Drosophila melanogaster: one gene and its partners. The protein of the gene in region 3 interacts with the protein of the main gene of each other region in a pairwise test. Each region holds a gene or a part of one and is shown on either strand. Other genes may lie near its edges.

Region 1 (4,998 bases), 5.9 Mb from region 3:
CTCCTCTCCGAGACAACGGAAACTTATTCAATTCCTTAATCAGAGTGCTGCAGCCCAATAAACAATAGTGAAATCATGGTATCCTTATTGCACTAAGAGGATTTTTCAATTGAGTGAAAAGGTAGTTTCCGAATAATAACCAATTAAAAAGGATTTATTAAAACCCTTCAGGATGTCATGATTATTAGGTTTCGAGAAATGGAAAAGGACCTAAGTATATCAATGTAAATCAGTTTTTCATACTAGTTTATATTTCTGAGATTCTCGCATGCAATCGTAGTTGTCTTAAACTTCAAAACCATTGACAAAGTAAAAATAAGTTGTATACTCACATATGTAATTTGCATAAAAAATTCAACATGAAATCAGGGGAAGATATTGGTATTCCGAATGGTTCCAGTTGTTCCTGAAAGAATAGTGAAATGAAGAAAAGATTAGATCAATTGAAATCATTTTGAAATAAGCTAAGACAATATATAATACTAAAATATTTGTTCGAAAGACTAAGGTTGTAAACATATAGTTAAGAGTTTGGAAAAAAAAAAGATTAGAGCCATTGTTATCCATTTGGTATAAATTTATGTTATATGTTAAAGTTAAAGTTTTATCTGAAGACTAATGTTTCTAGCCTTACCAAGCATTATGGGATAGTTAAAAAAATTATGAACACTTTTACTCTGTTTTAAATATACATATATATAAATAAATGTATATAAAATATGTATATATAATAGGCAAGCTTTATACATAAGGATATTATCAATTATCAATTGGGAGAAAAGAGATTTGGCCATTGGGTATATTTTTGTTCGCCAAGAAAGTAAGTCCAAAACAATGAAAATAATTTTAAGAAAAATCTTTAGTCTCGTGCATCTCATAAATAATCATTCAAACCAAAACATAATACAAATACCATAAATAAATTAAACAAAAAAACTTTTTTATATGCCAGTCATAAATATTGCATCAAAGATAAAATTGGAAGGTATTTTAATAGAGATAAAATTGTATAAATATTATTTTTGGCTCAGCTTAAATAAATTTACATTTCAGAGCCCAAATCGAATTAGTTTTCAACACAGCGAACTTTAAATCAATCAGTAGCAACCACCCAAGTGCCTCCTTTTTTTCAATAAGCCATACATATTGGATTTGTGGGGGAGAAAATATTTCGCGCACGGGTGCATCCAATAAACGCCTAAATAAATCTAAAGAATGCTTTGAATATAAAGGGTGATAGAACACTAACCGATTAAACTCAAGTGAGAAATGGCCAACGCTTGAGAACATATCAATCCATAGCGCTGCAAGTCCTTTAAGATGGTTGAATCTTTTTATGTCCGGTTTGTAGAAATGTTTAACTACACGCTTCACTTAATTACTCTTATTCGCATAAATTCCTATTTACGTAGCTTATATTACAGTTGATGCAGTACATTCAGTACCTGAAAGAAGAGGATGTGTAAATTGTTAAATAGGTAACATTGTATATTATGGATATGAATGCAGGATGATAATATAATTATGTTTTACTGTTTTGTTAATTAATTGATTTGTTAATGAAGTTAAAAGATATATACAGTTTCTATGGGATCCCATTGGCACATACACCTCAGAAATAAATTAAATGTGCTGCAAACTAATTAATTGAGCAATATTTTAGTTGGATGATTAGAATTTGCATGGCGTTCTAAATGACTTTTTCAATGATCAGGTATCATCCTTCGATTTAATGAAATATACATTTCATAAAGTTACTATTATTGCAAAATATATGCTCACATTTCTTACAAAGGATCATTCAAATTACTATTAATATTTGAGATATTAGTTAGACGTGAATAAATTGTCTAATTCCAATCATTTCCCTTGATACAACTAGATCATTAATCAGACTTATGTTGTGCCTTTCTTAAAGTATTAATATTAGTCCTTAAGTAAGTTGTGCAAATCCAATAATCCACAAACTGCGTAAGAAAGTAATAGCATTAGTTATGGATTGTGCATGGGAATTCCAAGAGCAGTACTCACCCTTAGATTCGTGTATCCTCGGCTTCACTCAATTGGGATGGCAGACGACTGATCCTGGCGCAGTCCTGACGGCCCTGGCTCCAATCTTCGATGGCGGTGACGATGGCAATGGCGATGACGAGGTGGGTTTGGACGGGTGTAATTTGATTGTAGCTTTAACGGCTGGACGCTTCGATTTCAATTGCAACTTAGCTTTCAATTTCGATTTCAATTTCAACTTCAATTTCGATATCGACGAGGATGCTTTCATTTTGATTAGTGTGCTCAACGAGAGGGACGCGTGACTAACAATTAATGGAAGGACGATTTGTGGAGTTCAACAAACAAGCAAACGTAAACAAGAGAGTGTGGTTAACAAGGCGCTGGCACGATGACCGGACTAAATGCTAAACAAGGCTGCAGATCCTCTCCTCGCGCACGGATCCCGATCCTCTCCTCTGCTCTCCTCAACTCAAGTGGGCTGGCCCGAGGGCATATCCTATCCTATCCTATCCCGGTGTCTGAGCTGCCTGCTGTAAACAATGGCTGTATGTCTCTTAACTTAATGCTTCGCCAGGAGCAGTCATCCTCGTCCGCTGGCAACTTTGGGCTCTCCGCGGGGAGAAAATCGTGCTGAAGCGCCGCCCTCTAGAGCATTTCGGCGTCTCCGGGCTCCTGCACTGTGAGAAATCTGTGCTCGGTGGCCTTTCCACTCAGTTCTGCACCATTTGTGCACTTTTCCGTCTGCTGCTTCTTTATTTTGTGTATTTTGTTGCTGTTGCCTCCGCTGGTTGTGGGTGCTGCTGCTGTTGCCGTTCGATTTTCATGGACGTATCGCTGCGGGCCGCTGTGCGCCGAGTCTCCGGAACGCGCACACTCTTTTAGGGCTCCGTGGCGCCGCTTATTCAGTGGTAAATAATAGATTTATTGAATGGCAAAACAAAATGTAGTTCGACACAAATGTTAGACGGCGAGACGAACGATTACATGCTAGAGTTGCGTGGTTCGAAATCGAACTGGTTCGATAGCTCGCCTCGGGGATGCCAACTGGATTGCCAACACTGCGAAAGGTGGCAGCTCGACTTGGGGTCACCTTGTGGTTCGCGTCCGCACTTATGTTGCGCTACAAGGCCTACAGGTGGCGCCAGGGATGATAGAAGGGTAGATAGGTTTTCTATTTTCATCGACTGGAAAGGCAGCAGCACTCACAGCTTCAAATTCAAATCTTTTATTGTCGAACAATTCTCGAATTTCGTATTCAGCATGGACAAGCCTCAGTACGCTCGCGTGGTCGAGATCCTTGGACGCACTGGATCCCAAGGGCAGTGCACCCAGGTGCGGGTGGAGTTCCTCGGCGACCAAAGCCGCCAGATTATTCGGAATGTCAAAGGACCTGTTCGCGTGGGCGACATCCTGTCGCTGCTGGAAACTGAACGCGAGGCCAGGAGACTGCGCTGATGTATGAATTACACCTGTTTGATTTCCCAAATCAAGTTAATAAACGATTTTGTTTGTTCAATTTTTAAATCCCAAACTATCGATTTCCTATCGCTAAGCTATCGATTCTTGCCATCGCAGCCCTAACAGCTGTTTGTGTTGATTCCGATTCCGCGAGACACTCGGATACAGATACTCACGCTCAGATACTCAGTTACTCAGCTACTCAGATACTCGTTCGCAGCGGACGGCCGAGCTGAGATACTCGATCGCGAGCTTGTTGTTGCCCCAGCCAGGCGAAAGTGAAAACGGAACGCCCAGATGAACGCCGAATAAATCAAGCGAAGTAGCAACAAATGCGGGAAATGTGAAAATGCGCGCGGCAGTGGGTTGAAGCGAGACGGGTAGAGCTAGAGAGATGCCCGTTTGCCCGCTGTGCGTGTGTGTGTGTGCAGCGGCGGCCGTAGCAGCTGCTGGTATGTGTGTGTACCGCAAGTGCAGGAGCCTGCATTGCAAAAACAAAAGCGAGTGCGAAAAGAACAGCAAACAGGATTAAAAGTGACGGATTCGATTCCCCGGGGAATCCTACCAATTAGTGCAAATTCCGAAATGCACGGAAAAGCGAACGAAAGCTGCGAATTCGTTACACTGCTGCACTTGGACTTTTCGGGGCGCTCTGAAAAATCGATTGACCGCAAGGAAAGTGGCGACCGCGAAATAATGCAGGCATTGGGCTCCTTCGAGGCAGCTGCACTGCGCGAAAAGTCCAGCAAAGGTGAGTGCGGACAGCTAGGGCAATTAAAGCAACAAAAGGCCAAAGATTGTCGTTAAATTCGATCCATAAAAAGTGGGCGAAAAAACAATGCAAAGCGTACGGCGCATTTGCCTGAGTTTTCGTGTTTGTTTGTTTTGGTTTTTTGCCTTCGCTTTCGGCACGTCAATTTTCGCCACTTATTTCGTAACAACTAAACCGAAAATACCTGTTCGTTCCACGCCCCCTGCCACCGCCCACCTCCCACCGCCCCCCGACACACCCAAAAAAAAAGTGCTTGCATTTGCGAATAGAGGTGGTTCCTACACCGGAAGAAATTACTGCCTGCGATTTAATGTTATTATTCTAATTAAAAAGCCTATGCATTATGAATATTTCATTCATAAATAAATCAAAGTCAATGAACTTTTATCTGTTGCTGCAAGCGCTCATTTATTCATAGAAACTAGCTTAAATGGTGAATATTTCATTCGGTTTTCCAACTTCAAAATCACTTTCTAAGTGGTATTCGAAACTCCGCACAGTGTACTGCTATTCCTAGACCTTTCATTGCCTGAATTTCAAAGTCGCGTTCAGTCGTCAGTCAATTGGCCCACTTACAATTTATTAATAAAGGGACCGGGTCATTAATGTTCATTGATTTTCCGCACTTAAGTGCGTCAGATTGACGTTACCAGGAAACATGGTAATTAGTGGCCCCTGGCACAAAGGGGCGTGATTAGCTATTCCGCCGGAGTGAGAGTCCTGAGATCGGGAACTCCACTCTTCCACTGGCTTGG
Region 2 (4,771 bases), 1.5 Mb from region 3:
GCCCTACAAATGAGCGAGAAGGTCTTGCCTTCGGGGATTTCAACCTTGTCCATGGCATACGAAAAGAAAGATATGTTTTCCGCATTTGCAGAACTGTTGCCCAAGGAAATCTCAAAAAAGTTTACATTAGCTTATGTTCAGTTGAAAGTAAACCTTACAATTAAATGATAAATAATCAAAATAAGTCGCATAATAATCAATATAAACGGATGACAGTTGTGATGATCCAACCGAGCCCCCGATTTATAAACATACTTTTGGCAACTTTTGCATTGTCAATGCCAGAAATCTGAGTCATCTTAATAGGGTACCGTAATTGGTCACACCAGAGATGATCAACATAAAATAAATGTTTATGATCGTACTTATTGCTACGTTTATAATGAACTGCAAAGAGAACCGGATCGAATTACAAATCTGGGCAAACAAAAGCTTGAGCCACCCACCAAAAAGTGGTTTGCGAAACGTTTGTGCCGTTCACTTTTCTGTGGGCAAACAATTACGAAAGTTTTGCATTAAAAATTAATAGAATGGAAAACTTAATTCCAACTGTTGCACTTGGAGCGTCAAAGCGCCAATTGCTCGCCACTTGGAAGTGTGATCCTTGGGACTGTGAACAATATATGAATAAAAACTGAGATATATGTATGCAATTTCAACTTGATTTGCAACTACCACCCCGAAGGTTAATTTGCACAACTTTTTGGCCAGCGATAAACGTATGTTTTAAGTATCTCGAATATGGCCAAGATATGGAGGGGAAGGTCTCTCCGGGTTTATCGACTATATTTACTATATATATGTACACACACACACATAAATGCCATGATAACGGGCCAATGTCAGAAAATCTGATAGTCGCAAAGAAGCGAAGTAAAGCGATTGCGTTTTACTATGTGTCACGATTGCGGGAAAGGAAGGAGGAAACGTGAGCTCCGTTTTGGTTTCCACCGCAACAGGTATTGTAAAACTTCGAGTGGCCAAAAATGTCATACATTCAACGAGGTGAAAAGCAGCCGCAATAAAATATATATAACTTAAACGCCACCCGACAATAACAGACCCCTCGAAGATCTCACTTTTTGTGCACAGAACGTGACAAAAAGACAGACGAACATAATAATGGAAAACCAGTTTATAGAAAGAAAGAAAGACCCACCGCCAGATAATAAAAAGTGCTCAAAACTTAAAAAAAAAAAGAAGTCACAAATGGCCAAAAGGCGAAATTGATATGCAAGGGGCGTCGAGTGAAACGGTTAGAAAAGCTTGATGGCATTTTTGGGGTATTGTTCGAAAGGGGTGAATGTGGATGGGGGATGGGGAAGGGAAAGACGTTTCTTTCCACTTTTGATTCGATGCTGCCGACTGACTAAATAAATCGCAATGCATAAAATGCTAACTAGGCCAAAGTCACAACAAAAGACGCGAAAATATTGAGCCAAAGACGTCAGCAGGATGGCGCATACAACGCAGCAGCCACAACAAGTCGCCCCACTGCCCACTGCCCCGCCCACCGCCCACTATCACTGTCACCCCCACAAAAACAGACACAATAGCAGTCGAAATAATAGTTAAAAAACATGCATGCTTGTATTACGAAGGATTAATCATTTGATCACTCACAGTTGAAAAATGTAAATAAAATAAATATGTTAGCACGAGTTATTTTGTTTACCCAATCTAATATTTAAAGGCCAAGCATCTAACTAAACCCTGCGAAACAGGTTAGCTATACAATCAGACCATATGTTGCAGACCTTTATCTATGGGATTCTACGTGTAAACAAACAAAGCTAATCAGATGATATATGTGTGTTAAACATTCAATTTCCAGTGCTGAGACAGTGAAAGCTCTCATTGAAATGGCTAATTATGCAGTGCTATTATCTCGACCGCAGCTGTATGAGTCTTTTTTGAAAATAGAAAATGCTTAAATGCAGCACGCACGCACACATGCAGCGGCAAAAGGGGCAGCACGGGGGATTCCCCTTTTGAGAGGGGGTCTTCCGGAAACAAGCCAAACATATAGAACACATAGAACGGTGGTGGAAGGAGAAGCAGAAGCAGAAGAGGAGGCAGAGCCAAAAGCAGAAGCGACATGGAAACTAGGTCAACTCTCGACGCCATTGGAGCAGGCGAGTGTCCGACCGAGAGCGACGACAATGACGCCCGTCACACCCAGGCGCAACTAGCTCAAGGCCAAATCCGCACTGCAGCGGGGGGTTTGGGCGAGTCCTTCAACCTTTCGTTGGGCGAATGGTGGGGTGGGCTGCCGTTTTTAGACCGTCCTTGGAAGGGATTTGGATGGGATCTAACCGCATCGCATCTCACTTACCCGCTGCGAAATGCAATGGTGTGGATTTGCGTCCCGCCGTATCCCTGGCGTTCACGGTCTGAGGCGTTATTAGCTTCTTCACCTTGGCGATCTCGCCCGTTTTGCAGGCCTCGAAGAGCTCCCTCAGCGGATCGTTGGCCATGACCGCATCGAGATTAACGCTCAAAATGGCCCGACTTCGGCTGCTGTTGGCCATTGTTGTGCTTGTTTGCTACGCTTTGGCACACACACGCCCCGAAAAAAATAGGCAACAAAAAACAAGCGCAATATTCAGTGGGCTTTCGGGTTTTCCACTCCCAGTCCAGTTCTCTCCTCCAGCAGTTGCTCTGCCCGTCCTACACAAGCCTCGCCGTTGTCCGTCGCTGGCTTGCCCGCATCCTGTATCCAGGTGTCCTGCCTATGCCGCAGGAGCAACAATTTGCCACTGGCTGCCACGCGACCAGCCCTCGTTTTTGCTTAATATTTAATGCACAATTGCAGACCCAAAATCAATAGGATTTCTTTGGTTCGACACAGCACGGTTGCAAGGATCGCGGTTGGCTACGATTCGTTTTTACTGAGACTGCGACCAACTCTGGGACTAGCTCCCTGGTACTTGGCCTCCAAAGCTCTGGGCACGGACGATTATTTCCGGATTAATTCACTGCTCCGCGAAATATTGCATTGTTTTGTGACCGAGTAAGAGTGACCGTTCGCGGGGTGGTCGAATATTCCAGGTTGAGTCAAGCGGTGTGACCAGGCGACGGGGCAAGCCATTCTGAAAAAATACTGAAGTCCTCGAATCACATAAGCTTTTCCATTAATTATATTTTTTAAATTTAATAGCTTATGTTCTCACAAGGTTTTACACAAATTTGTGCTTCAGTGTGCACTCACTATTTGGTGAAAAGCGAAAAGACGTTTGCATCTATATTGTGTTATAAGAAACAATTTTTTTTGTTAACCAAATAGACAATATTCAATTGGTGGTACAAAAATTAAGATCATCATTTTTATGAGCTTAAATTAGAATTCTTAAATTAGAAAAGGCCATGTAGGAATTTCAATTATCCTAATATAAGCACATAAGCCTATTACTAGGGAAAAAATCTCAAAAAAATTTTTTAAAATAATAGCAAGTACCTGTTACAACAACATGCAATCCCAATTGGCATTGCTATCGATAGCTTGAAAAACACCTGTTTGGCCATCCCTGGTTGGCTGTTGGTGCAATCGATTTTTGGCATCGACTGGATGCCCATGCCAACAACAATGTTTGCTTTTAAAATTTAGATTAAATCCGTTAAAAATCCGTGAAATCAAAACAAAAGCAGTGGAGCTGCTTCACAACAAGATTATCGTGCTTACTAGAAAGTGAAGAACCACGGAGTTACCGCGCCGGAAGTACAAAAGTAATCACCAAATCGGAAATCCGAAAAGTGAATCAGAATTTTTCTAGCTCACACACACACGCGCGCATACCCGCACGCCCAGCAAACACTCATGCAAGCGTATGGAACCAGTCGTGTTGTTGTTGTTGCTGTGAATAAGTGCAAGTGAAGAAGAAGCAGAAACTGTGATCGGAAAATTAAGCAAAAAAGAAAAACAGGCGAGGAAAAGTGGGGTTGGGGAAAAGCAGACGGAAAAGTGGAAAGGCGGAGTGCAGCTAACACGCTTCGCTGGCTGCGCGACAGCAGAACGCCAGTCAAGCGCCAAAAACCATTAGTAGAACCCCATTTCCAGCTGGAGCGGCACAAGAAAGCAATTTTCTGGTAGCAGAAACACCAAGAAACGAAAATAATTGGCCGATCTTTAGAGACTCGACTCGACGACAATTAGCCGGAATGGAGCTGAAAGTTTGGGTCGAGGGCATCCAGCGGATAGTTTGCGGCGTTACAGTGAACACCACATGTCAGGTATGTGAGCTACAGCAGAGGTCAAAATAATAGCACTATTATCTTGTTAAAGCATTTTACACTGCTGCAGTGCTGTTAATGTGACCCGAACTGTATGCGCTCTGTTTGCTAGTCAGTTTGCCCTAATTATCGTTTTATTTTCCACAGGATGTGGTTTTTGCTTTGGCCCATGCCACTGGAAAAGTGGGCAGATTCACTTTAATCGAAAGGTGGCGCAATAACGAACGCCACCTGGCCCCCAATGAGAATCCAATGAAGCTGCTGCTCAAATGGGGCGAGTATGCAAATGATGTGCAGTTTATATTACAACGTTCGGAAAACAAAACACAGCAGCAGCAGCAGCAACAACAACAGCAGCAGCAGAACAATAATAATAATAACAACTATGCTGTGATGACAACAACAAAAAAGCCGCTGGGGCCGAACAACAATAACAATAATAAGCCAGCGCCCACTTTGCTAAAGCAAAAGTCGAACGTCGAACTCAGCTACCGCACAAAGGAATTGAAAAAAAGTTTCGGGTGGGTGGTTTTTATATGCT
Region 3 (6,597 bases):
ATATTTGTAGCACCAACATCCATATCTCAGCGCCATGGTGAACAATGGCAGCTGGAGCTACGACCACGATCGCGATGGAACGCACACTCAGCTGGCCGGCTGCGAAGTTCGTTTCCGCAATGTGGAGTACGAGACGCTGGTTAGCATTCGATACGAAAACGACATTCTGTCGGTTTCCACAGATCTGGAGAACCGCAACGAATGGAAGAACTGCTTTGTAGTGGCCAACGTTGAGCTACCCACGGGCTACCACTTCGGCATGTCTGCGACGACGGGTGATCTGTCCGACAATCACGATATTCACAGTTTCAAGTTCTATGACCTGGACTTGAACGTAAATGTAAGTTCACTTTTGTTTGCCAAACTTCGGAAGCGAAGTAAGCATTACTCAGCTGTCTGCTATTTGGCTAACGCGATAAGGAGTGCAAGGAACCCAAAAGCGGACTTAAGTTTCAATAACTGCGTATACGTATAAAGAAAAAAGAGTGAACTTGTTTTTAATTGCTGCAACTTGTAATAATTAAGCAGCTGGCTTTAAACACATTGTTTGATGCCTAATCATGTTTATCTTTATAAGCCGTGTGTTATAATATTTATATCATATTACTGAAAACCAGTTTTACTTTCTTGTTGCAATAACCATCTTTTTACTTTCTTTCTTGTTCGCAGCACGATGAGATTATCCGGCGCTCCAATATCATACCGAATGCCAAGACATTCGAGCCCCCGCGCGAGCACAAAGAAGATCCCAAGCCGGGAATGTCCAACGCCAAGATCTTCTTCATCCTTCTCTTCGTGGTTGTCGTGGCGGCTGCAGTGGCCATCTTCGCCATCTCCTACTTCAAGGATCGCAACGCGCGAAAACGTTTCTACTGAGCTCTCTAGCTAGTTCATCACAGTAGCATCATGTTAGGAGTTACCCGGACCTCAGTTGATCGCAACTTTTATTTATATTTATACCGCGACTGTATCCCATTTCTTATCACCCTTTTTAGTTTCCTTAATTGTTTAGTGAGAGGGTAAACATAATATTACACGTGTTGGAGAGTTAAATTTAAGTGCAAATTTTTAATCTGAACTATAGGAAAATTGAGACCGTGAGAATATTATTGCGTAGACAAGATTAAAAGCCACTAAACAAATGCATGCGCTTCTCAATTAACCAACCATCCGCTTCTAGTGCTGACGCCCAGCCAACATGGACTCAATCTGGCGCACCTGGTTACTGACAAATCGATCCCGGGCACTGATCTCCTGGCGCTGCCCCGGCGGCTCACCCTCCGACTCCAAGGCGTCGTTGGACTTATGCATGCCGCTCAGAATGCACTGCTCAAATAGCGACTTGGACCGTGCATCATCGTCGTCGTCGTCTAGCGAGTCATCTGAGCTGTAGTTCGGCTTATCGCCATGCTCCACCTGCTTCTTTGACTGCCCATTTTCCCTGCATAGAGTGCTGGTACTAGCGTTCGCCAGGCTGGAGCTGGTACTGGCACCGCTGGGCTGAGGTCGACAACTTCCCGCAGCAATGGCCTATAAAAAGAGGGAACAACTTTAATATTTCTGATTTTAGCGAGAATTTTCTGACTGCATTTTAAATTTAACTTTTGTGAAATATCAACATTCCGATTGCTAAATCTACAAAGACACTTATTTTTGAGTGAGTCTCTCACAAAATGTTTATATGGTGAAATATATCAAGTGTTTTGAATGAAGTATCCTTTTCTCACCTGACTTAGAAGATTACAGTCGTCATCCGAGTCCATGGACAATGAGCTCAGTGAGTCGCTTTTCTTCGGCGGTAAGCGTGGCTCCGCATCTCCTTGAACGGCACTACGTCTGGGAGGAAGTTTGGGTGCCTGAGCCTCTTCTGCAGTCCTCATTGGCAGCTTCAGAACAGGCCCAGCCTTAGCAGAGCCAACAGTGAGATGGGATAGTCCCGAGATGACCGAAAACGTGCAGGGACTGTCCTCGACATAGTACTTGCTCATTTCATCCGACACTGGCAGATAACTGGGCAATGCATTGCCACCGCAGCGCATCTTAGAGATTGCATCTTCTGCCGGCATCCGAGTGTCCATTCCGGTAACATCAGCTCGCGGAGCAGGCACTGGCTGCGCTTCATTCGCATTTAGATCATTCGGGATGGACAAAATGGACAGATCACTATTGCTTGGCGCTTTGGAAAGCACGGCAGTAGTGTCCTCTGTGCAATAGCTGCGAGGAGCATCCCCATTGCCGTTGATGTCATTTCCACGCTGTCCTCGAATAGCGTTTGCATTAGAGTCGTCCATCATGCTCAGATTACTTAGACTGGTGGCGCAGGAGAAGGCAGCAGGCGTGTGCTCCACGTGGAATCTGTTCAACTTGTCCTCAAACACAGTACTGGGCTTCTGTTCAGGTGTGTCCAAGTTATTTTGAGTGGACACTTTTCTGTCCCTTCTCGGAGATTGAGGCATACTCTGGGTGGGTGAATCGGGCAGCTCTGAGGGGGAAATAACACCACTCTGCATCCGGCTGTATTCACTGATCACGGATCCATTGTCCTCGCAGGCAACCGTTTCGTCGTCGCCAACCAATGAGTCCATAGAGCTGCGACGCGAAAACATTAATGGAGTTTCTAGTGCGGAATCGATGTTTTGAGGCGTATTTCCGTCAACGTGCACCGGGAGAACCGCAGTTTTCGTTGGAGTTTTTGGCGGCATACATTTCTCCGGTTTCTCTGTGAGGCTGTTGAGCGAGTCGAAGCGACTGAAGCTGCCGGGAGTCCCTTCTTCACAGTAGTTTATTGGTCGCTCTGCCGTTTCCGTCTCCGTTTCGGTGGCAATTTTCTGCTTAGCTGCTGAAACCGCCACCAGGCCAGGACTATTGCGCAGCTCCGTGGCCGAGGAGGACTTTGTCAGTTGCAACTCCTTACTTCTAATCTCATTGGTCTCCGACTTCAGCTCCGGCTGTGCCGTCTGAGCGGATCGTCTCTCCTTATATCTAGCACTGAAATCCGTTGGCTGATCCAAGTCGATCTCAAAGGTCTTACTGCTATTGGGTTTGTGCTCCATGTACTTCATGGAGTAGTCAATGGGCTGCTCTTCAGTGGGTGTCACAATTTCGAAGGGATTCTTCGCTCCCTCCGACTTGGTTGAGTATTTAGTGGAATCGGATTTGCCCGAGTAAATGGACTCTCGGCTCTCACATTTTCTGTTCAGAAAGCCAGTTGTGCTGACTGTTGAGGGTCGCACTTTCTTAAGCGATCCCGTGGGATTTGAGCTTAGGCGCAGTGAGCTGAATCTCCGTGGCAGCGTACCTCCATGGCCAGCTTCCTTGTCTAGTGGCAGTGACCCACCATCTCCATTGGGCATAAGCTCCTGAGTGGCCCTGAAATTAACTAGGTTTTTCAAAGCCGAGGCACTGCCCTCCGCAATCATGGAGTTCTTGGAGCTGATTAGGGCCCGCAAGAGCGGGATGGCATTGTGGTCAATGAGGTATTGCTGGTCCTCGGGACAGCGCGCCGAGAGATTCCACAGAGTTCCGCAGGAGTTGCTTACCACGGTTAGGCTCTCCGATTTCAACTGTTGCAACAGAATGGCAAGGCAATTGTACCGTCTTAGGATTTGTCGGTACGGCTCACACACCGCAATATGGCTCGATACATTTCGAAGAATGCCGCCTGCATTTTCGATGATCTTAAGAGTTTTACTCGGACCCTCGTAGCTAAGCATTCCGACCAAAAATGCCAGTGCTCCGTCTACTGCACAAAACTCCGCCTTGTTGGTGCTGCAGTGCGCTGAGAGATTCCAAAGGGCTGAAAGTATGGCCTTGAGAGTGTTCTCGTTCTTGTTTTGCATGGCTGCTCGAGCCAAGGAGGTCACAGTACCCAGCTCGTTAAAGATAGTCTTCATGTGTTTGTCCGCGCGCCACGAAAGATTGCGAAGCACACCAGCAAGAACCTGATGAGATCAACGGTAATTAAATTACGATCTTTTTTTCTTAATCTCCAAGATTAAACTCACCTGTAGCAGTTCATCCGGAGCCGTGTTCAATTGAGCAATGACCACTTCCATGAACTGTCGCTGACCGCACAGATACGATTTGTTATGGACGTTCTCGTCTCCGAAGGTGAGATTCGTGAGGGCCATGAGGCCGTAGCTCCTGAGGGCGTTGCACTGTTCCCTACCGGCAGCCGGTCCATGGACCGCATGATCAAGGTGGACCAAATTGGGAATCGCCTTGAGGGCTCCCAGTTCGCACATAGTCTGGCGGTGCTCCTCGTCGAAACTGGCTTTCATCAGGAGCTTCATAGCCGCCAGCGGATGACGATCTTCATCATCTGCGATAGCCTCACCGCCGCTCTGCAACTGGGTGTGCAGAAAGTTACAGTAGTCGAGGATCTGGTCCAGCAGGCGCAGCATCTTCACCTCCCGCTGGCGCTCCTTCTCCTCCGGATTATTGTGGACGATGTTGTGCAGCGCCTGGCTGGCGTACTTTTTCGCCGTGGAGAGGCCTTCGTCGTTGGCGTGCAGAATCTGCACCAGAAGCTGGATACAGTCCGAGCTGCGCAGGGCGGTGCATGTTTCCGGATTTCGAGACAGTTCCAGGAAGTTGCGCGTCAGCTCCAGGCGAGTAGCGTCGCTCTCGTTCAGCGTCATTACTTTGAATGTATCCTCACCTATTAGTGCATTCGGATACCAGGGATTCTGGGAATAAACCTTTGCAGCTTTGCTTCTGGATGAGTCCTGTTGCACGGTCGCTTCAACAGGTAGTTCCTTCTGATCTGAGATCCTCGATCTTTGTTTGAGATGGCCTGCGTTTAAGCCATTTTCCAAGCGCGCAGGCTCAGCGCTCCAGTGCTACCGATTAAGCTAATTTATAGCTAGTTCTGCCCAAGTTCAATGATCAGTCAAAGTTCTTTCGAATAAAGGGATTAATACAAAGTTAACTCTATTTATTAAGGAAGCTCTCAAAATGTTGTTTATTTATATATTTTAAATAAGCGTGCAATAATTTTATTACATTACATTATTACATTTTCCCACCGACAACTGTTGACAACTCTGCCCCGCTTTAAAACAAAATAAAAATCGATTTTAATCAATGCAATAGAGATCCAAGTATTGCATTTAAGAACTAAAAAGGGCATTTACACAACTAAAAATTAATCTTTCTGTGTTTTTATTTAACTACTTCCTTCAATGTTGTTTTTTATTTTATAGAAAATATTTTCACTACACAATAATAATATCGAATACTTATCTATAAATTTGTCCATCTCTAGCGAACCGTTACGTCACGTCAATCAGCTGTTGCTGGACGCAAAATTGTTTCTGCCGCAAAATAATGAACTTCTTGAAAAAGGTGTGTTAAATAACAACAAACAGGACAAATTATATATTAAAATAACCTAATCTATTGCAGCTGTTGCCCCAGGTGGCGACCGAGGTGCAGCAGCTCAGCCGGTCAGGATTCCACACCAGCTCCGTGTGCTGTCGCGTGCAATCCGGGCGATACCGCATAACCACAAAGCGAAACAGGCCTCTTACCTACGAGATGGCCAATCCGCCGCATTTTATTGGCCACCGCAAATCGTGGAACTCATGGAACACGTGTAAGTTGTGAGAAAATTTTATTAAGGAAGCATTTTGATGGCCACCTTCTATCTTAGCAACAATGAAGGATGCCCTGCGTCCGTCCCAGACCGCCATAGAGGATGTGTTCATCCGCAAGTTTGTCACCGGCACATGGCATGCCCTCGTCTGCTCCGAGGTCATTATCAAGCGACAGCACAACACCATTAGGATCGCGGCCCTTATTCGGCAGGCGATTACACCGCGAAAAATGTACTTCCTTATTGGTTACACGGAGGAGCTGCTCTCCTATTGGATGCAGTGTCCAGTGACCTTGGAACTGCAAACGGTGGGCGATAAAAAGGACGTGGTCTTCAAATACATTTAGTTCATTCTGCTATATACATGTCCAATATAAAAGTGTAGATTTACTTAGTGCGTGTACTCGACTTCGCTGCTGTTGTTTTGTAGTGATTTGATGGCCTTGTTTACGATAATAACACCGTCAAGATCCTTTACCTAAGGCAAATTTTGGATAAGTTATGGCTTAGCAAATGGTTTCCTTATTTACTTACCGTTTCTATAAGTCTTTTGACGTCTGCTAAAGATGTTTGCTTTAGTATCGAGGACCTTATGTCCTTAACTAGTTCTACAAACAGGAAAACAACAATCTTCCGGGACCCTCCACAGACTTTGTCCCATATCTTGACCAAATGAGTTGTACAGATTATTCCAGCAAAGCAGGTTATATACCAGTTATCCAGTAGCGTTGAGTTGCCATCAAACAGGCCCAGAAGCTCCAGGTGACTATAAGGAGTAATCGAAGAAAATTGGTCAAATAACCCGACTAACCATATGCAAACTCACTTAAGCAAGGACAAATCTTCGCGCTTCAGTATATTCTGCGTTTGCTCCTTCAGCTTGACGCACTCCTTCTTCAGTTCGCGGGTGTACTTGTAGAATCCCTTTGCTATCCAGTAGGTTTCCACGTTGTCGTCGAATATCTGCAGCAACGTGCGCACAATCTCTATGAAGTGCATGT

What was found.
Region 1: the proteins of Apc2 (region 3) and Axn interact in a two-hybrid assay, tested with the Drosophila melanogaster proteins (3 studies listed by BioGRID, with this or other methods).
Region 2: the proteins of Apc2 (region 3) and Tnks interact in a two-hybrid assay, tested with the Drosophila melanogaster proteins (one study listed by BioGRID).

The regions. Positions count from the first base shown.
Region 1 is NT_033777.3:30,020,874-30,025,871, reverse strand, and holds the start of Axn (axin), read right to left. Parts: upstream 3,031-4,998; 5' UTR 2,032-3,030; intron 1,446-2,031; 5' UTR 1,250-1,445; intron 407-1,249; 5' UTR 333-406; intron 1-332. Other genes in the region: RpS28a (ribosomal protein S28a), read left to right, coding at 3,274-3,468.
Region 2 is NT_033777.3:25,658,257-25,663,027, forward strand, and holds the start of Tnks (tankyrase), read right to left. Parts: upstream 3,031-4,771; 5' UTR 2,532-3,030; coding exon 2,336-2,531; intron 19-2,335; exon of another isoform or gene 1-18. Other genes in the region: RASSF8 (Ras association domain family member 8), read left to right, coding at 4,159-4,230, 4,378-4,751. UniProt on the Drosophila melanogaster protein: Stimulates proteasome activity, probably by ADP-ribosylation of PI31. Modulates 26S proteasome assembly.
Region 3 is NT_033777.3:24,162,217-24,168,813, reverse strand, and holds Apc2 (adenomatous polyposis coli 2), read right to left. Parts: upstream 4,849-6,597; 5' UTR 4,641-4,848; coding exon 4,005-4,640; intron 3,942-4,004; coding exon 1,728-3,941; intron 1,531-1,727; coding exon 1,177-1,530; 3' UTR 877-1,176; coding exon of another isoform or gene 670-876; 3' UTR 550-669; downstream 1-549. Other genes in the region: CG5510 (uncharacterized protein), read left to right, coding at 11-340, 670-876; mRpS24 (mitochondrial ribosomal protein S24), read left to right, coding at 5,329-5,346, 5,407-5,596, 5,654-5,943; TBC1d7 (TBC1 domain family member 7), read right to left, coding at 5,988-6,074, 6,131-6,362, 6,423-6,597.